Linked DNA regions of Lonchura striata. The protein of the gene in region 1 purifies or fractionates together with the protein of each later gene. This does not show direct contact. Links are inferred from orthologs where the notes say so. Each region holds a gene or a part of one and is shown in the gene's direction. Other genes may lie near its edges.

Evidence for each region.
Region 2: the proteins of RARA (region 1) and KLF5 purify together in Homo sapiens (affinity purification with western blotting; 4 studies listed by BioGRID). This does not show direct contact. The link is inferred for Lonchura striata from reciprocal best matches to the Homo sapiens genes RARA and KLF5.

The regions. Positions count from the first base shown.
Region 1 is NC_134627.1:6,946,870-6,956,836, reverse strand, and holds the start of RARA (retinoic acid receptor alpha), read left to right. Parts: upstream 1-6,086; 5' UTR 6,087-6,211; intron 6,212-9,967. Other genes in the region: CDC6 (cell division control protein 6 homolog), read left to right, coding at 1-196, 284-447, 584-690, 786-925, 1,011-1,111, 1,250-1,314, 1,464-1,663, 1,764-1,904 and 1 more. UniProt on the Homo sapiens protein: Receptor for retinoic acid. Retinoic acid receptors bind as heterodimers to their target response elements in response to their ligands, all-trans or 9-cis retinoic acid, and regulate gene expression in various biological processes.
Region 2 is NC_134604.1:50,474,539-50,484,691, reverse strand, and holds the start of KLF5 (Krueppel-like factor 5), read left to right. Parts: upstream 1-6,111; 5' UTR 6,112-6,242; coding exon 6,243-6,458; intron 6,459-8,329; coding exon 8,330-9,200; intron 9,201-10,153. UniProt on the Homo sapiens protein: Transcription factor that binds to GC box promoter elements. Activates the transcription of these genes.

The DNA.
Region 1 (9,967 bases):
CTGTTACCAGCAGGCCAAGCAGGTGCTGCATGCAGCCGTGCCCGAGCAGCTCCAGGGCAGGGAGCGGGAGACGACGATCCTCCGGCAGTTCCTGCAGGATCACGTCCTGGGGCGCCGTCCCGGCAGCCTCTACGTGTCCGGAGCCCCCGGGACTGGGAAAACAGTCTGTCTGAGCCGTGTTCTGCTCGACTGCAAGGTCTGTGCCACGGCCACAGGCGTGGGGCTGCTGTGGGGGCTGGGGGACAGTGGGATGGGGCCAGTGTAACATTCCCATTCCTGGCAGGACAAGCTGGCTGGCAGCAGGACTGTGGTGCTGAACTGCATGGCACTGGGCAGCCCCCAGAGTGTCTTCCCTGCCCTGGCACAGCACCTGGGGCTGCCCGTGGCCACCGGCCGGGAGTGTATCCGGAGCCTGGAGAAGCATCTGACGGCCAAGGGGCCCATGGTGTGAGTTCCCCGTCTGGGGCGGATGCAGTGGGATTCCCCTGGATGCCAGGAGAGGCAGGCTGGCAGCAGCTCTGCTCTCCCTGCTTGAAGTGCTGTGAGGGGACAGAACAGGGGGTTGATCTGGGCTCTCCCACAGCCTCCTGGTGCTGGATGAGCTGGACCAGCTGGAGAGCAAAGGCCAGGACGTGCTCTACACCCTCTTTGAGTGGCCCCAGCTGCCCGGCTCCAGGCTCGTCCTCGTGGGTGAGTGTGTGGGGTGTAGCACTGCTGCTCCTCTTTGGAGGGGGTTGATGGGGACTTCCCTTTGCAGCCCCCACCCTCTTCCTCTCACCCTGCAGGGTTGGCCAATGCCCTGGACCTGACAGACCGGAGCCTGGCCAGGCTGGGAGCCCACCCAGCCGGCAGCCCCCGGCTGCTGCACTTCCCACCCTACACCAAGGAGCAGCTCACCCGCATCCTGCAGGAGCGGCTGGGGCAGGTGGGGACACGGGGATGGCAGAGCGGGGGGACGTGGCTCCTCTGCTCGCATGGGTGGCTGCACTGATAGCCCTGGTGCCCCACAGGTGGCAGGTGACCCCGTCCTGGACTCTGCTGCGCTCCAGTTCTGTGCCCGCAAGGTCTCTGCGGTCTCCGGTGATGCTCGCAAGGCCCTGGATGTCTGTAGGTCAGTGTGTGCCCCAGAACCTGGGGCAGCTTGGTCCCTGTGAGTCTCCATGGCTTCCCTGCTCCAGGGTACCCGTGCCAGGGGTGCCCATGCCAGGGGTGCCCGCTCTGCCCGGCGCTCAGGGCTGTCCCTCCCCAGGCGCGCCGTGGAGGTGGTGGAGCTGGAGGTGCGAGGCCAGACGCTGCTCAAGCCACTGCCTGGAGGTGAGTCAGTGCTGCCAGAGCCAAAACCCTGCAGCCTGTGCTGCAGGGGCTCCTCTGGGGTCGCCTCAGTGGGAGGGAGTCTGGGCTCCCTTCGTGCGGCTCCTCTCTCCACTACCACCTCCCTTTTCTCACCTCTCTCTGTCCCACAGGTGACTCCCCGGCATCCCCTGTCCCCAAGCGCGTGGGGCTCCTGCACGTCTCCCGGGTGCTCTCAGAGGTGTTTGGGGACCGGCTGGCGGGGGGATCCCGGGGGGCCCAGGACACTTTCCCTCTGCAGCAGAAGGTGCTGCTCTGCTCCCTGCTCCTGCTCGCCCGGCACTCGCACACCCGCGAGGTGACCCTGGGGAAGGTGAGTGGTGGTGGGACCCTCTCGGTGGGTGGGTGTCCCTGGGGTGTCTCTTGGGTGCTTTGCTGTGGTGTAACCCCCCCACCACCCCTGCCCTCCCCAGCTCCACGACACCTACAGCCAGGTGTGCCGGCGGCAGCAGCTCCCCGCCGTCGACCAGGCCGAGTGTCTGTCCCTTGTCACCCTCCTGGAGTCCCGCGGTGTCCTCGAGGTCAAGAGGGCCAAGGAGGCCCGGCTGGCCAAGGTACCATGGGGTGGTGGGGCAGGCTCTGGTGGCCTCAGGGTCTGGTGACAGCACTGGGACATGATCCAGTGGTGGGACTGGGGCAGGATCTGGCAGCACAGTGCTGAGCACCCCCGTTCTCCCTCCCAGGTTTCCCTGATGCTGGAGGAGGCAGCGCTGGAGCACAAGCTGCAGGACACAGCCCTGGTGGGCAGCATCCTGGCCCAGGGGCTGCACTGACCCCCCCCACAGCAGACCCCTCCCCATGGCCCCAAGGGGGATTTTGCTGCTGTGGCAAGAGCAGAGAAGTGGTTCCCAAAGTGTTGGGATGTTTGTAAAGTTGGGCCCTGGGCCTGTCAGTCTGGGGTCTTTTTATTAATATTTTAATGTTATAATATTATTAATGTTATATTGTAATTTCTGCGTGCTGGGAGCTTAGGTGGGAGGCTGGGACACCCCCCAGCCCCTATATGCCCCCCCCACCCAGCCCTTTAGCAGGGAGTGGTGAGTGCTCCTGGTCCCCCTTGCCACCCTGGTGTGATCCTGAGGTCTGGTGTTGCTCCTGCCCTGAATCCCAGACCATGTTTGCTCCCAGCTCTTTCAGAGCCTTCTGGGGCTCTCTGGAACCTCTTGAGCACTCTGGCTCCTCCCAGTGCCAGCCCTGCTCTGGGTCCCGGTGCTGCCAGTGGCACAGCAGGGGCAGGGACCCCTGGGGGGAGAGGACAGGGGCATCCCTTTATCTCCTGCTGTGAAATAAAGTCATTTTGGTTCAGCTCTGGCTCCTGTCCCCCGTGTTTCACCCCTTTTTCCCCAATCCCTGCCTGCCCCACAGCTGTGCGGACCCAGCCTTGTCCTCCCCAAGCCCTCTCCTGGGCTCCAGCCCCAGGCTCAGCTCCTGGCCCCAGCTCCTGTGTTTCTGTTAAATAATGGACGCTTTGACCTAATTTTGCAGCTTCCTCATTGTGGGGGGGGGGTGTTGGGGGCTCCAAATGGGGGTGAGGGGAGTGGGAGGGCATGAGGCTCTGCTTGTGCCTCACATCCCTCTATCCCACCCTGCCTCTACCATCCCACCCTGTCCCCCAGAACCCCCGGCTGCCCCTCTGCAGCTCCTGGCCAGGGATGGGGTGCTGGTATCCCCAATGTGCCTCAGTTTCCCTGTGGCCCCAAGGGGTGGCCCTGCTGTGTTCCAGCTCCACCTCAGCTCTGCCCCTCAGCTCTGGGGCCTGTGGCATCCCTGCAGCTCACAGGACACGGGGACATTTGCGCTGCCTGCCCGGGACAAGGACACAGAGGGGAGCCTGGTGCGGGCCCTGGGTGCTGCCAGGAATGGGGTGCAGGGCCAGGGGACACCTTGGGGACACGTTGGTCCCTGTTGGCCGTGGGGAGCGGCAGGGAAACCGAGGCAGGGGGAGCACGGGGGACTCTGGAGCCCCGAGGGCCCCGAGCAGGCTCAGCCCTCGCTGCCGGCTCTATTTATAGCCGGCGCTGCCATGTGTCGGACGTGTGCGGCGGCACGGGCGGGCGCCGGGGTCAGCCCGGGCTGTGCCCGCTCGGGGCCGTGTCCCGGTGCCCTCACCACCTCAGGGGCCCTGCAGCACCCTGTCCCTGCCCCTCCTCACACCGTGGGGCTCAGCGGGCACCATGACCCTGCCGCCCGTCGCCAGGCTCTGGGGCTGAGCGGGTACCGGCATCGTCCTGCCCGTGGGCAGAGCTGCATGGGGGTGCCCAGCTCCCCACGGACCTCGGCGGCCACGTCCTGCCCCGTGCCAGCCCCAGGGAGTGACGTGGCCCCCCAGCACACGGTGAGATGGCACAGGGTGACAGTGTCAGGAAGGAAGCGCCTGGCAGTGTGCGGGTCTGCGGTGACGCAGTGGTGGTGCAGGCTGGCATCCTTCTCCCTCATCCTTCTCTCATCCTTCTCCCTCATCCTTCTCCCTCTCCTTTTCCCTCATCCTTCTCCCTCATCCTTCTCCCTCACCCTTCTCTCTCATCCTTCTCCCTCTCCTTCTCCCTCATCCTTTTCCCTCTGTCACCCCAGCTGCTCTATCCCCGGCCCCCCGTGTCCCCCCGTGGTGATGGCTGAGGTGATGGTGGCCCAGGCAGGGCACAGGGACACTCCCACCTCTGGGCCAGACTGGCCATGGTGGGCACCCCACGGCAAGGCTGGGGGGCTGCCAGTCCAGACAGCATCCCTGGGGTGTCCTGGCTGCGTGCGTGGGGATGGGGACAGCCCCACCTTGGCCATGCCGGTGCCAGCCCCAGCTCCACTGTGCCGCAGTGGATGAAAAATCGATGGCGCAGCTGGATCCCGGCGCGTGGGTGCCGGAGCTCCCGCCGGAGCCGTTCGTCACGGCGGGGCTGGGAGCAGCGTGGCGAGGGGACAGCCCGGGACACCCAGCAGCGGTGTGGGGAGCCCTGTCCCCCGGCTCCAGCACACCTATGCCCGCGTCCCCTGTCCCCGCACACACACAGCTGCGCCGTGGGCAGCCCCACGCGTGTCCGGCCGCGCAGCCGCCCGGGTGCGCGGCGGGGGCTCGGTGTCCCCGGTGCCCCGGCTGCCTCGCTGTCCTCCCTTGCACTCTCCTTACATAAGCGGCCACGTGGCGGGCACGGCCGCCTCCCGCCGCGCCGTCACCGCCGGCGCCCAGATTCCATCTGACAGCCCCGTTCCGCCCGGCTGCTCCCGCCTGGCACCGGGGCCGGGGCTGCGGGGCACGGCCCCGCACGACCCCGCGCCGCCCGCGGTCTGCGGGGCGCCGGTGGCACCGGGGACGCGGCCACCCGGTGCCGGCGGCGCCTCCCGCCGCTGCCCTGCCCGCCCCGCCGCGCCTCGGGGCCGCGACGCCGCGGCACGGACGGGGCCGGGCCCCGCGGCCGGCGGTGGGCTCGGTGCCGCGGGGCTGCGCTCGGGGGTCCCCGGTGGCCGGTGGCTGCCCCGGTGGGAGCGGAGTGGGGTGGGGGGGGGTCGGGCTGGCCGCCGTGCACATCTGGGAGTGATTTGGCACATTCCACTGGGCTGAGCACATGCCGGCGCCTGGGCCTCGCCGCCGCGGCCCCGGTGTGCGGGGAGGGGCCCAGCGGCTGCTCCCGGCTGGGGGTGCCCCGGCCGGGGTGTACAACATCGTTCTGGTGAGCACACGGGGGAAACTGAGGCACGGGAATGTGCTGAGTGGCCTGGCGGGCCATCACCCTCCTGTGTGGGTACCGTGGGATCCTGACAGGTATCCCAGGGCTCTGGGCAGCGGCGGCAGGGCTAGTGTGACTCCCCCCGGGGCTTGTGGTGAAGCTGCCTACACTCCTCACATGTGTGCCTTCGCAGGGGAGCTCCTGCCCCGCTGCCCTCCCAGCCCTCCCAGGGTCTGGGCTGTGCTGGTGGGTGCAGGGCATTGGGTGCCCTTTCTGGGCTGCCAGAATGTGGCTGGGTAGCCTGTGTCCATGTCCGTATCTCCATCGCCATCCCCTTCCTAGAATCAGCATCTCTCCAGGGACAGACAGAACAGGGAATTCCTCTGGGTACAGGCACCACTCTATACCCCCGGGGTGCCACAGGTGCCCCCAGCTCTTCCCCTCTGAGCCTGGGGGGGCAACCCAGGAACTCCCTATCCCTCTCCCCTCTTCCCCTCAATGTGTTCCCATCTCTTCCCTACACCCCTGGAGCACCCACCCCTGTGTTTTCCCTCATGTGGGCGCCCCAATCCCCCACCTGGAGGGGGGGGTTGGGTATCCAGAGGCAGAGAAGAGGGAAGCGGGCTGGGGGTGGGGGTGGGTGGGGGTCGTTGGAGCACCTCCTCCTGTGAGTGGTGTGGTGGGTCGGGGGCGGAGAAGAAGGGTAAGAGTGGCATCGAAGTCGCGGTGCGCGGCCCCTTTAAGAGCCCCCCCCCCGGCCGGCGCGGCGCGCGCACCCACTTTCTCCCCTTCCGCTTTCTGGAGACTTCAAAGAGTCACTGAGCGGCGCCGGCCCCGCCCCCGCCCCGCCCCCGCCCGCGCCCCATTGGCCGCTGGGCCGGGGCGGGGGCGTGGCCACGGGGAGGGGCGTGTCCTCCTCCCGCTCCCCCCGCCCTCCGCCGCCGCCGCCGCCGCCGCCGCCGCCGCTGCCCCGCCCGGCCCAGCCCCGGGTAAAGTTTCCCCGCGAGCACATGACTCGCAATGGCCGCGGCCGCCGCTCGGTGAACCCCCCCGGGAACCCCCACCCCACCCCTCCCTCACCCCTCTAAGCCGGGGCGAAGCCCCCCCTTCCCCCCCAGCTCCTTCCCGGTGCCGCCGCCATGCAGCCACCACCGGGAACTCCCCGGGTTTAAGGATTTCGGTGTTGGAGTCTCCGCGAGCAGGTAATGAGGGGGCTCTGGATCTGCCCGTGGGAGCGGGGTTGGGAAGGAGGGTCTTGATGCGGCTCCGGTACCGCCTCTGGGGATCCCCCTCCGGTAACGGGTGATCCCGGGGTTCCCGCAGCGGGGGAGGGACTCCGCCGGGCTGCGGCTGCCGGGAGCACCGGAGCCGCAGCGGGTTCGAGATCGCGGCTTTGGCCTCTGCCTCTTACACTGGGCTTGGGGGTGCCGGAGTTCCCTTTCCCGGTACCGACTGCCTGGGCGCTCCCGGGCGGCAGCGCTGCGCCCCCACTCCGGGGCGGGCTCCGGGGCGGCTCCGCTAGCCTCTACACCCCACCGGGGACCGGAGCACCGCCGCAGAGCGCGGTGCTGGGGAGACCACCCCGGGATTACCGGGCTCTCCGGGGCCGCCGGTGCGCGCAGCCACATCCCCCCCCATCCTCCCGCGGCGGGGGGGGGCCGGGGCCGCTTCCCCTTTCGGGGTGCGGCGGGGCCGGGGCCCGGCGGGGGAGCGGGGCCGGGAGCGCGGGGGGCGCCGGGGGCCGGGGGGCGGGAGCGGCGTCTGCGCCGTTTCCTGGCCGGCGGGCGGAGGAAGCCATCGCTCTGCGCGGCTGACAGGGCGGCGGCGGGCGGGGGGGCCCGGGGGAGCCGGGCGGGGGGCGGCGGGGCCGGGGAAGGGACCGCCGGCCGCCGCCTCCCTCCCGCAGCAGCTGCCCGGGGCCGGGCTGCGGGCGGCGGAGCCCCCGCGGGCTCGGGGCGGGGTGGGGGATTTGGGGGTGCAGTCCCCCGGGTACTCAACCCCGACAGAGCGGGGACCCCCCTCGGGGGCGGGGAGCAGCGCCCCGGGCCGGGGCAGGGCGGTGCGGAGACAAATCCGTGCCTCTGTCCCCCAAATCTGTGCCTCTGACCTTTGACCTCGTTGGTGGCAGGGGCCGCCCCGCGGCGCGGCGGGTGCTGGGGGGGACACGGGGGTTCCCCCAGCCGGTCCCTCCGCTCGGGGAACCGGGCAGGCACCGGCCGGTGGCCCCGGGTGCGGCACCCGCCGCGTCCTCGCACCGGGATTAACGGGTGACGGCTCGGTGGCTTAGCGGCCCCGCGGCCACTGCTCCCGGGCCATATGTCACCCGTGGGCCCCCACCCTGCCCTTGGGGGTGACCTTGCTGCGGCTCGAGGGAGCGCCTGCTCCCGTGGGTGCTCGCACCAGGGATGCCCGCGGGTGTCCTGATGGGTGTCTGGCCCCTTTTTCCCCGTTGCTTGCAGCCCCCCTAGGTGACACGGTGACACAGCCACCGACAGTGGGATGACAGGAGCAGGGCAGTGCCCTGCGCCTCATCCGGAGCCGCCTGGTGTGGCTGCTCCATCCCACAGGGACACCTGGCTTCACCCAGCTGTCCTCACACATCCTCCGTGTCCCCGCGCTCGGTCCCTGTGGCAGGAGCAGCGTCGCTGCCACAGAGCCTGGGGACGGCTGTGCCACCGCCACCGCCTGCCCTGCGGCGCTGGGATTCACCATCCCGCCGCTCTGGATCTATTTATATCCAGGAGGTTCTGGTGTGACAACGTGCCACATTTGGCCGCGCGTGCCCTGAGCCGCCGTGCCCTGAGCCACTGTCTTGGCAAAATCCAGCGCCGATGCCAGTGCTGCCATGAAGAGGATGGCTGGCCTCTGGGGTCCCCCGGCCCTTTTTGGGGCGCTGCTGCAGCACGTCAGGGCTGGAGGAACTGTGAGTGCTCTGCAGTGCGTGCCTGGAGCCTCAAGGTGCCCCGTGCCGTGGGGCACCCCTGTGCCGCAGGGCCCCCTGGCAGCGCCAGCCCCGGGGGGAGCGCAGCGAGCGCGGGGGGTGCGATCATATCTGCGGTGACACATGTGCTGATTACGGAAAATGGGTTAATCTCCCTGCGGCTGGAGGCGGCTTAGCGGGGGGTGGCTCGTGGCAGGGCCCGGCGAGGGGCCGCGTGCGCCCGCCGTGGCCTCCGCTGTCCCCTCTGAGCCCCGGCTGCCCGGCAGTGACAGGGGACATGGCACACGGCTGCCTGCCTGCCAGCCCGGGCGCGACGCGGTGGGTCGCGGTGGTGCTGGTGGTGGCATGGAGCGGTTTGGCCCCCCCAGGTACATCAGGTGTCTGCTCCTGGGAGCCTGCCTAAGCTGGGGGCACGGTGCCACCAAATCCCGGTGTCCGGGGGTGTCGCGCAGCCGCCAGCCTGCCGGGTCCCCCCGCGCTGTGTCCCGAGCGGCCCCGTGCCAGCTGCACTTGTCTGCCGGCTGTCGCCGAGCCAGCGAGGGCTGTCTGGGGCCGCGCTGTTCCCGGCACGCCATTCCCAGGGCGCCGGCTGCCGCCGCAGCCTCGGCTAAAAACAACCAGGACTGCCGCGAGTGGCTGCTGGGGCACCGTCCCCCTGCTTCCCGGGAGCCCCTGGGGGGCTGGGATGGGGCACACCGGGACCCCCGGCATGGGGCACTCCAGGACCGTGAGCCCTGGGCGTGCGGTTTGCTGCTTTCATCCTGAGGGTTGGGATACAGGGTGGGCTTTGGGCTGTACCTGGGGATGTCCCCTCTGTGGGCAGGCAGTGCTGGGTGTGGGTGTGTGTCCCCAGGGTGCTGTGGGGGCAGCCCATGGTGTGAGGGGCTGGTGGGTCATGCTGGCTGGGATACCACTGGACCTTTGGGACTGGCCTGCTCCTCTCGAGGCATCCAAGCCGCAGCCAGGCCGGAGTGGTGGCAGTGGTGGTGTGGCACAGCTGTGGCCACCCCAGGGGCCGTGGCGGGGGCTGGGGCACCTGTTCTTGCTAAAGAATGGCACGTCTGGTGGTGGGTGCGGGAGGTGTAACCGGAGCGGCGCGTTCCCGGCGTAACCGGAGTCGGCCCGGCTGCAACAGGTGGAATTTCAGTTTGTGGCTCCTGGCAGCAGCGAGATGTGGGGTGCTGGGGTGAGGACCCGCACTACAGGGCCAGTGGTGACTCCCTAGTGTGCCTCCATGGGTTGGGGAGACCATCCTGCCGGCACAGACAGCATCCCTGTGGGTCAGTGTGGTGTCCCTGGCCCTGTGTCTGTGCTGGGGGAGCGGTGGTTGTATCTTGCAATTGTTGGGATGCTGGAACACCAGTGCTGCCCAGGGACGTGCAGCGGGGCTGTGCAAGCCCTTGGGTCAGCTGCTGGCCGTGGGAGTTGGATGTAGTGCTGGGGTCTGCTCTGGTCTCAGCATCCTCAGATTCCTGTTCCCAGCAGCCTCAACTCCGGCGCACGCTGGCCGAGTGTGCCGCTGGCTCCGGCCGTGCCGCAGGCTGGGCATGATTCACGCCTGCCCGGGGACGTGAGAAACGTGACGGTGACTCACCGTGGGGAGCTCCGGGGATCCGGGAGAGGGTCTCTCTCAGCAGCCCTGTCAGGGGGGCACCTCACCACTTCTTCACTACGCTGCCTTGCCCTTGGCAGCCTGGAGGGGCTGGTTGGTGGCCGGGGGGCAACGGGGGCAGCCAGGCCTTTGGCCTCGCGTGCGAGGCTACCCCGGGCTGGTTCTGCTGCCAGCGAGGAAACCGCAGGCTGCAACCGCAGTGGCTCCGCAGGCACTTCCTGCCCTGCCCGGAGGCTGCCATCCTGTGCCCCCTACCTCAGCACGGCATCCCCACTCTGCCCACACACCGTGGGGACAGCCTGGCATGGGGAGGGTCTCCAGTGCCTGTCCTGGTGAGGGTGGGGGACGCACGCAGCAGCCGCTGCCAGATTTGGGGAGTGCAGGATGCTGCGGTGGTGAACTCTG
Region 2 (10,153 bases), on another chromosome or scaffold:
TTTAGCCTAGCAGCTCATTGCTTTAATGCCCTCCTGGCTTGTCCAGCCAGACCATCCCCTCTGCCATGTCCAAGCCTGTATGGGCTCCATCTCCCACCTGGCAGACCAGTATTTCACAAGACCCAAACCATTCTCTACTATGTTATTTCTCTAATCAGGAGATTTCAGCCAAAATACACAAATATGGCAGCTTTACAGTTAGTGTTTGTTAACAGATCCTCAGCATAAACATTCTGGAGCTAAAAAGTGCTTTTTTTTGTAGTAAAAAATGTGGGTTTGTCTCATCAAGCAGTTAAAACACCACATAAGACCATTTATTGCTAACAAGCATTGCCAACACTGTTTGTTCTTTTAAGCAGGCAGTCTCCTCATTGGACAGGGGAGGTGGAAGTACAGAAGGGTGATGGCTCCCACTAAACTTCCAAGTAACGGGCAAACCACCTTGCCAAAAACCATGAATGTTATTTTTGAAGTACATTAGCATTTTAATTAATCTTATCTCATTACCTCACATGTACAGATTTCCATCTGCTCTAATAGTACATAAATAATTAAAGGACATGCTGAAGGAGCATGTCATTGTCATTTCTGGCCCTTCTGTGCAACAAGTCAGAGCTGAGCAGCTGTAGGACAATGGATGAAAATACAGGAAAGACTCACCTCCTAAAGCTGAGTCAGTGACCTGTTGTTCTCAAAAAGACCTGTTGTTATAAACAGCCTCTAGTTCAGACATATGCTGAACACACAGAGGTCAAAACAAAAAATGGTAGCAATAAATTATTTTTCTGTATTTTTTCTCGTCAGATGGGCTGAAAATATTTGAACTGTACCTGAAACCTAAGTAATATGAGGCTGTTTACCTGAAGTTAAGGCTTATTAAAATCCAACAAAAGATTGGGTTCAGCTACTGAGTAAGATGTCTTGTTCCCTCCAGACAGGTTGATGATTCTTAATCCAAGAATTCAAGTAATGAGCAGTTGAAGTTTCCATCTTGAAACATCTGTTCCGCCAAGTCAGCACTGGCCTTGATAAATAGCAAATCAGACTGATGCATGCAAGTGTATACACACATGCTCAAGTTAAACTTGAGGGAAAATACTTGAACAGACCTCTTCATAGACAGATTTATATAATTAATCGGTAATTAGTCTTTGTACAATGCAGACTGACTCAGGTCAAAACACAGAAAATGCAGACAAGGTAGGATCTTTACCTGTTGCTGCAAAAAGTTTTTTCAAAGGTTGTTTGTGGGTAAGTTTACATACCTTTATTTAGTTGTCACAAACCTTCACTGCTATTTTAACTTACTCATCTTACAGTGGAAGAAAAATATGTTTAGCTAAAGGATAAAAACAAACCACAAGTACAACTGCATCTGCATGCTTTTAGTAATCTCAGCAAACTTTAAACAACTTTGGAAGTTTGCTTAATTTTTAACTGTGCAAAATAAAACCTTACATACACCTCTCATTTTATGAAGTCTGTACCAAGTTTTGCAATGGTGACTCTCCCTCAGCTTGTAGAGTAAAGGAATAATTTCTTTTTGCAGGTTTGTTATAGTCTTATATCCTAAAAAAAATGTCAAGTCCAGTTCTGGAGTCGCTCTGTTGAGAAGGTTTCTACCTGATGTGATGTGCCAATTCAAATCCATCAACAAAAATGCCAAGCTAGTTCAGGAAGGTACACACTTCACTCCCAGCAGAGCAGCAAAGAAAGCCTGAGGAACTCCACTGGAAATGGGAAGGTTTGACACAACTGTCCTCTAGAGTATACAGGGAGGTTGGCAAAATGAAATCGCACTTTCTGTGCATCCTTCAAAATAAACCTTTGTCCGAAGGGAACTAGAGGTATTTTCCTGATTATAAGGCTTTGCATGCTAGAGCAGGGGTGGAACGAGATGATTGCTGAAATGTCAAGAGGGGAAAGAAGTCAAGATGAAATGTGTTTTTACTCAAATGCCAGGCTGAAATAATTAGGGAGTGCCATTTGTTATTTCAGCAGGAATATCCTTCTCTCCATATGGTCTATCACAGTATTTGTGGTACAGTGAAATGAAGAACAGGAACTGGGCTTTCCTTTCATAAGCAAAGGGAGCACCTCTGTTAGTGAATCTTGAAACAGCAAGAGATAAAGGTACACAGGAATAGACTGTCATTTCATGATTTCCCACATTCGCTTGAACAGAAAGTCACCCTGCTACATTCCTTGGTGTGGTGGTGCTGGATTATATAGCGCGAGTGGCATTCACAAAGCCTGTCATGAGTTAAGATGGCACATCGTAGCTGGTGCAATCCTGTCTGCAGAGGAAAGTTAACACGAGAAAAATGATGACTTTCTTAAAAGGTTGTGTTGGCTCTTTTGCAAGCTAGAAGTAAAAAGAGAAACCATCTCTTCCTTTGGGAAGATGAAGTCTAATGAGTGGGCAAAAGTACAAAGTACAGACAGCTACTATTTTGCAAGAAGAAAGTTCATGCTCACTTTTCTAGTAAATTTACATGAAAAAAATGAGGTGGGTATTTGCTCAATCAGAACAGGCCTCTCAATGTGTTAAAAGCTCCTGAAATTATAATCAGACATCTTCCTGTGGCTTTCAAGCCTGTCTTAGTTCAGCTGAAGTCCTTGGTTTTCCCTCACCTCACCATTATGCAACTACTTGTCCATGTCTTTCCAGTCCTTCCCTATGCCTCCAAACAACACGTGTAGGTCCCTGTAACTGTGGCCCTACTCCTCCCAGCAGGACAATGGGACACAAGTGCCTTTCCTAAGAGATATGTCTTATGGAGCGATGAGTTAGGAAAGCAGAGAGTCTGTCTCCATCCTGGCCCCGCTGCTGAACTCCTTTGCTCCCAACCCCACTCCCACAAGGCAGTGCTCTGCTTCTCCACTGCCAAGCTCCCAACTGCCTGGGACTTGACATTTGTTCTTGTTTTCTCCTGTCTCCCCTAATGGGCATAGCACTACTAAGCGAATAGGAATGTACAGAACAAGAGAGTTCAAAGTAATTGAGTCTACATTCATTCAGAAAGCCTGGATCCTTGCCCGCTCAGAACCTGCAGCATCGACATAGTTTCAGAAAGTTTAACCCTTTTCCCCTGAACTCGGTAATGCTGTTTTGAGTGCAAAGTGTTGTACTTCTCTTGCCACTGACCGTGGATACCGAAAAGTGTTGTTCACATACCCAGCTAAGTGTCTTTCACATACCTAGCTCTAGGTGTTAACCAGTCAATGCTTTATTCCTCCTTTTTTTCACTCTGCAGGACAATAACTAAAGACCTTGAGACCTTGAACTGTCATTTTCAGAAGATGCCTGGGGACTTGTGTTGCAGAGGAATGATCACTTAGCAAAACTACTAAACATATCTGCCTGTAGTCTTACTTAAATAAACGGGGCTGTGCTGGGTTGAAAACAGCTTACTGTGTTTTCTGCGGCAAATTCATCTGTTAAGGTGTAAACTCACTTCTACCTCAGTCTGCAAAATCAGTGAAGAATTAGAAATGTTCCAAAATTATTATAGCTGTAAACTCCTTTTTTTCATTGTGATTATGAATTATTTTATTATGTTTATTATGATTTTTTTCATTATGATTCATTCTGAACAAATTCTCATTTCAATTTAATTTAGGAGATTACATTATTTGGCAGCTTAGTATTGATTTTAAATTTGTAAATAAAAATTATTTGTTCCAAGAAGTGTAACATCTAGTAACAATGCTAATTCTTGAAATGGCCTATCAAATAATTTTTCTCTCTGGATCTAAAAGTGCATTTAGACTATCTGTAAACTAAATAATGCAGCAATATGTAGGTCAGATAAGCAGTGAATCTGAGCAGGAAAAAGAGTCTATTGGAGTTTCCTGTTCAATTTTTAGTTATAGTAGAAAAGTCAAAATAAAAAATTGCTCTTTAAAAATTGTCATCTTTAGTCATCTTTAGTCTTTAGTCATCTCCCACTGATTGTTGCTTGACAAAAAGACTGTAGGATGTAGACCATAAGTAGCACAAAAACATAGTGATGAGATTGGATTTATTTATCTGCAGTTCAGACCTAATTACATCCTTTCTAAAAAAAATAAAACACATTCAGAGATGCTTCTGAAAATGTTTATACACAGAGCTTTACTCTGTGATACCATTCTAATTAACCTGCCAAAGCTTTTGCCTGGATAGGCCCTTTATAAATGTATAAATATAAAACAAAGCAAAACAAACAAAGATAACCCAAACAAACAAACAAAAGTTTTTAAATTATCCGTTTATCATTCATTAAATCACATGGATACAAAACATGCAAATAAGGTATGCAAGTCTGAAAAACACTTCAGTTACTACAGCCAAAGGATTCGTTTAAATGTCTGAAAGTTACCAGAACATGCACAACATTGGACACTGCCTAATCCTATGTTGTGCCTCCTCTATAAGAATTAGTTTCTAGACAGCAAAGTATACTACTGCTAGTTTTTCAATTTTAGAGATGTTAGAGAGCAGTTTATGCTAACCTTGTCCTTTCAGATGGTCAAAAACATAGTTTGAAGTCTAACAGGGTTGAAATAAGGGACATGTGAGGTATTCAAAAAGCATAGTTTGAAGTTTAATCTTAAACTAGGGTTATGTGAAGGGCATTCACAAAAAAATAAGATATGATTTTAAAATCTGATGGTTAAAACACTTGTTCCTAGGCTTGAGCGGGGAAAGAAATGCCAGTCATGAGTCTTCAGTAAAGGACGCTGAAGTTGCATATTGCCTAAACGGGAATACGTGCTGGTGTCGGATGGAAATGAACCTGCACGGCTTCAAATGCTGCGCTGACGGGAGTAGCCGGATCTACGTTAGTAATAGCAAGCATCAAGAGGCTGCATATTGCTAAACAGACAGTTCGTGTAAAAAAATGTTATGCTGAGCTCTTCCCGGGTTCTGTAATTAGCTTTCTGCATGCAGGCTCTGAGACATCCTACTCGCTGTGGACTGGGCGGCAAAGGGGAGGAGTGCCAGGCTGACCAGGAAAAAAAGGATTTTTTCACGTTTTAAAAAAGAACTTTGTCTGTAAATTATAGGAGATAAATACGGGGAGGAGGAGGTTGCCAACATTTCTGTGGATTCTCAGACTCTCTCCCTGCAAACTAAAGCTGCAGAGCTGACAGGGCTGGGAGAAAGGTGGAAAGTTTGTGCTTTTTTCCAAAGCTCCACTACATGCTGTAGTTTTCCCATACGACGTGAGCCGGTCGGTGTTGCACGAAAGGACGGCGTCCCTCCTTTTTCTGCTTCAGCGAAACATGCGGCAGCTTAGCTCACCGTCCTGTGTCTACGGGGAAATATGCTTTGCGTCGAAACCACACCTCAAAACAAGTAAATAGAAACTTGCCTCATTTCTATGAGGGGAGGAGGGGGGAAAGAAAAGGTTCAGTCGTCGCTACCTCTTTTCCTCTACCCGTCTTCCTTGTCCTCTGCGCTATTTCTGTAAAATGCTGAAAAACTTCACTTTCACAGTGTGCGGGGGGGCGGGTGGATGTGTACTGCCGGGCTGATAATTATTAGCAGCAGGTTTCAAGTACGAGTTGCCTTCAGGACAAAAAATAATAAATCTGAACGACTGCCTTTAAAACCTTTCTGAAGATGAAAGGTAGGACAAGACAGTTGTTTTAAAGTGGCCACATTAGCAGTGCTACTTTACAAGACTATAAATAATAGTATAAGCACGAGAGAAACGTCGGCGGAGCGCCGCACTTGCTGAAAACCCGCTTCCACTCCAGGGCGAGCGCCGCGCCGGCCGCTCCTTTCCGGGGACTCTGCGCCGGGCAGCGCTCCCCGGCTGCTGGCCGGGCGGTACCGCCCTGCCGGGCCCGGCACCGGAGCCGGAGCCGGAGCCGGCACCGCTCCGCCATCGCCGCCGCGGCGGGGCAGGGCCGAAGCGGGCCGGGCCGGACCGGGCGGCGGGGAGGAGCCGCCCGCGCTCCCCATAGGCAGGGCGGGCGGCAGGGCCGGCCCCTCTCCGGGCTGGGTGCGGTATAGGGGGGGCCGGGGGTGGAGTAGGGTGAAATAGAGGCGGGCGTGTGTCACCGGGTAGATACCCACGGCCAGGTACAGGCGGAGGCACTGACGATACCGGAGTGGATGCGCTCCGGGCTGGTGCTCCTGGGGAGTGAGCGCACGAGCAGCCACCGCCCGCCCGCCCGGAGCCGCCCGCGGGTCACTCGCCCTGCGCCGGGGCGGGCAGCCCGTCCGCGCCGCGCTCGCCGCCAGCCTCATGGCCACCAGGGTGCTGACCATGACCGCCCGCCTGGGGCCCGTGCAGCAGCCCGACGAGCCGGTGTTCGCTCAGCTGAAGCCCGTGCTGGGGGCCCGGGAGGCAGCGATCTTCCCCGGAGAGGACCTGAAGCAGCAGCAGCCGCCGCCGCAGCAGCAGCAGCAGCAGCACCCGGGGGGCGGCGGCGCGAACCTGCCGGCGGAGGAGATGGTGCAGGTAGGCAGCGAGCACCGCTCACAGCCGCCGGTGGGCACTCGGTGCCCACGCAGCCCCCGGAGCCGCGCCTCGCCCCGCTCGGAGCGGCCGCTGCGGGGCGGGCGGGACTGGGTGGGGCCGGACTGCGGGGCGAGGGCGGCGGACGCCGAACTCCGCGGCTGTGGCGGCAGCGGCAGCGGCGGAGTGTGTGTGGTGTGTCTGTGCGGGGAGCGGCCACGCCGCCCATCCCGCCCGTGCGGAGCGGGAAGCGCTCCCGTGTTCCGCCGGCGGAGCGCGGCGAGGCGGCCGGGCCGCGGCGGGGCGCGGGCTCCGGGGGCAGCGGCCGGGCCGGCCCGGCGAGGCGGGGGGAGCCGGGCTGCCCCCGCCAGTGTGTTGAAAGCTACAGCTGCTGCCTTCGCACTTGCCCGGCGGCAGAATTAGAGCGGCCGCCTGTCCTCCTCGCCCACGCAAGGAGTCATGTTCGGGGGGCGGGGGGGGCAGAGCACACGACTCACTGGTAACGGGGGACTTCCCAGGACTTTGTGCCTGTCCCAGGAGGCTGTTTGGGAGCGGATCCGCAGGCAAACAGCTGGAGGAGCTAAAAGCGGGAAGGTGCGAACCGCAGCCGGGCTCCAGTCCGCGAACGGAGCCCGCTCCAGGGGCGGTTCCCGGCGCCCTGCGAGGCGCTGGCATTTCCCCGGTCGGCGGAGAGGCAGCCCCGGTGCCGGGCAGCGCTCTGTCGGGCGCTGTCTCTCGGTGGTGTCTTCCCTAACGAGTAAATAAGTCCCCGTCTTCAAAGCGAGTTGCCCTCGACTCGTAAACAAGAGCTGAAAAAAGTAGCCTGGCATGTCGGGGCAGATCCAGATCAAAGGGACGGGAAGGCGGCTGTGTTTGTTTGTGGTGTTTACCGGGGGTCTTTGAAGAAAGGTCCTAAAATCCACTTTCGGGCAGAGTTGCTGTTTGTCAGCTGCTTTCGCTTGCGGGGTGCTAAACGGGTCTGGTATGAGCACTCTCTTGACAGGGCAGGGGGGAATGTAGCATTTGCCCACTGAAGACGGCATGGTAAATGTTTTGCCGATGACTGTACGCCAGTAATGTATAGGGCTCCAGCCACCCACGGATTCCCTCGCACTACTGTGCTAAGAGGGTGATTTTCCAGTAATTAAAGAGCTCTTCGAGAACCGAGGCATGGATAGGGACATGTTTATCACGCTATTAATTAGACAATTATACACTGCATAGATTATTACTGGTTTAAGTGTAGTCCTGGAGACACTTTACACAAAGAGTACTCTGATGTAGTCAACCTGTCTCCTTCTTATTCAATATTATTAATAACTTTACACTTTGGTGTTGTATTTCTAATTAAATCCCGTTCTTCCAGGGATGAAGAATCATGGAAGTATGTTATCTATCTATCTATCTATAAATCTATAAACATTATTTGAAGTATTAGTATTCATATAGTCAGCTGAGGATGTGGCTTTTACAGTTAGCATTTCAAAGAGAAGCGGGTGAAACAGGCAGTCACCCTGCTCGAGCAGTGAATTCCAGAGCAGGAGATCTGAAGATTAGGCAGAGCGCCTGTCACTTCTGCGCCTTGCGTTGTGTTTTAGACATAAAGATGAAAAGTTTGTGTATGCTGAAACATCAGATCTGTCTTAATGTGTGAACACTTTATCTCCTTGTCCTTGATGATGTTGATCAGTGTGCTGATTGTAAAATCAAGCAGGTTTTCATTAGTGTGAGCATTCATAACTTCCTCTGTAGGTGTCTTGCGGCTGGGTGAACAGTATTGCCTTTTGTTTGTAAAGCCTCACATGACTTGGATGCCATCATCTTCCTTAGCTGGTAACAAATCATGTGGACTATGGTCTGTTTTGTCTTTGTAGACGAGATGTGAAATGGAGAAATACCTGGCACCTCAGCTCCCACCCATTCCTGTCATCCCTGAACATAAGAAATACAGAAGAGACAGTGCCTCGGTTGTAGACCAGTTTTTCACTGACAGCGAAGGGTTGCCTTACAGCATCAACATGAACGTGTTCCTGCCTGACATCAGCCACTTGAGAACTGGCTTGTACAAATCTCAGCGACCCTGCGTAACCCACATCAAGACAGAGCCATCTTCAGTCACCATCTTCAGTCACCAGAATGAAACTCCTGCCCCTGCTCCCACTCAGGCCCTCCCAGAATTTACCAGCATCTTCAGCTCCCACCAAACTCCTGACGTGAACAACATTTTCATCAAGCAGGAGCTTCCTACTCCAGATGTCCATCTTTCCATCACGCCCCAGCAAGGCCAGTTGTATCAGCTCTTGAGCTCACCGGATTTAGACATGCCCAGCACCACTCCTCAGGCAGCCGTGATGGACTCCCTTAACAATGTCTCCATGCCCTCAGCCATGGCGGGCCTTAACACGCTCTCCTCAGCTGTTCCACAGACTGCAATGAAACAGTTCCAGGGCATCCCCCCCTGTACCTACACCATGCCAAACCAGTTTCTGCAGCAGCAGGCCACTTACTTCCCCCCTTCACCCCCAAGCTCAGAGCCTGGAAGTCCAGACAGACAAGCAGAGATGCTGCAGAATTTAACCCCTCCTCCATCATATGCCGCAACTATAGCTTCCAAGCTGGCAATTCACAACCCAAATTTACCAGCAACTCTGCCCATAACCCCCCAGAACATCCAACCTGTTAGATACAACAGGAGAAGTAACCCAGATTTGGAGAAAAGACGTATCCACTACTGTGACTACCCAGGTAAGCAATCTGTGCCAGGAAATCCCAGCTCTTGCAATAAAAAAAAAAAAAAAAAAAAAAAAAAAAGCGTGAATAATAATGGATGAGGTATAAGTGGTTTTCTTTAGCTGTGGTCTACATCTAGGGAGAACCAAATAGTTCTTTGTCCAAGTAGAATTTATCTCTGTCGTCATTTTGAGTGGAAGGCTCTCACATTCATTAAATAATTGGTATTATTCATGTCATTTGTCATTCTCTTGAACTCATTTTACCCTGTTACAAAATAGAGATTCTGTAGAAAATAAAAAACAAAAAATTTTGGCCTTTGCTAGTGTAAATCGGTGTGACTGTCCAGTATTCATGATGGAGCAGAGGCTCAGTTTGTCCAGTGCAGTACAGCTCTGTTTGAATTTTCTGGCACTGCAAGAATAATTGCAGCTCCCGGTAGCCAAGGCCACAGCCATTCTTCCCTGTTACAAACAGGAGATTCAGCTGCCCTCATAAATCCATTAAAACCATCTCTGCAAATTGTCCACAGATGGATTGCCTTCTGCACTGGAGGGGAAGAGGGATCTGACTAAAGTGTGCCTCCATGTAGTATGTGATCCCAGATACAGGCTGTGCACACCCGTTGTAAGCGCAGAGAGAAACTGCTGCTCCCCCTTTACCAACTCGGGGTGCCATATCACCTATTCGGTGTGCCTTACAACAAATGCCAGTGAAAGAGTTGTGTTGAGCCCTGGGTGACAATGCCATAGAGTCTGGCTTGATCAGATCCTCTTGGAAATTTTTTAAAAATAATCAAAGAATCCCCCCCTGCTAAATTGTGGACTTACTTAGCAGGTGTTACTGTACATAGATTGTAGCAGCTATTGGCCTATATACTACATTACAAAGCAGTAAGTCGACCAGAAACATACATCTTTTCTGTGTCAAGCAACATATCTCTAGGAGCATTCTGTATAGAATTTTGC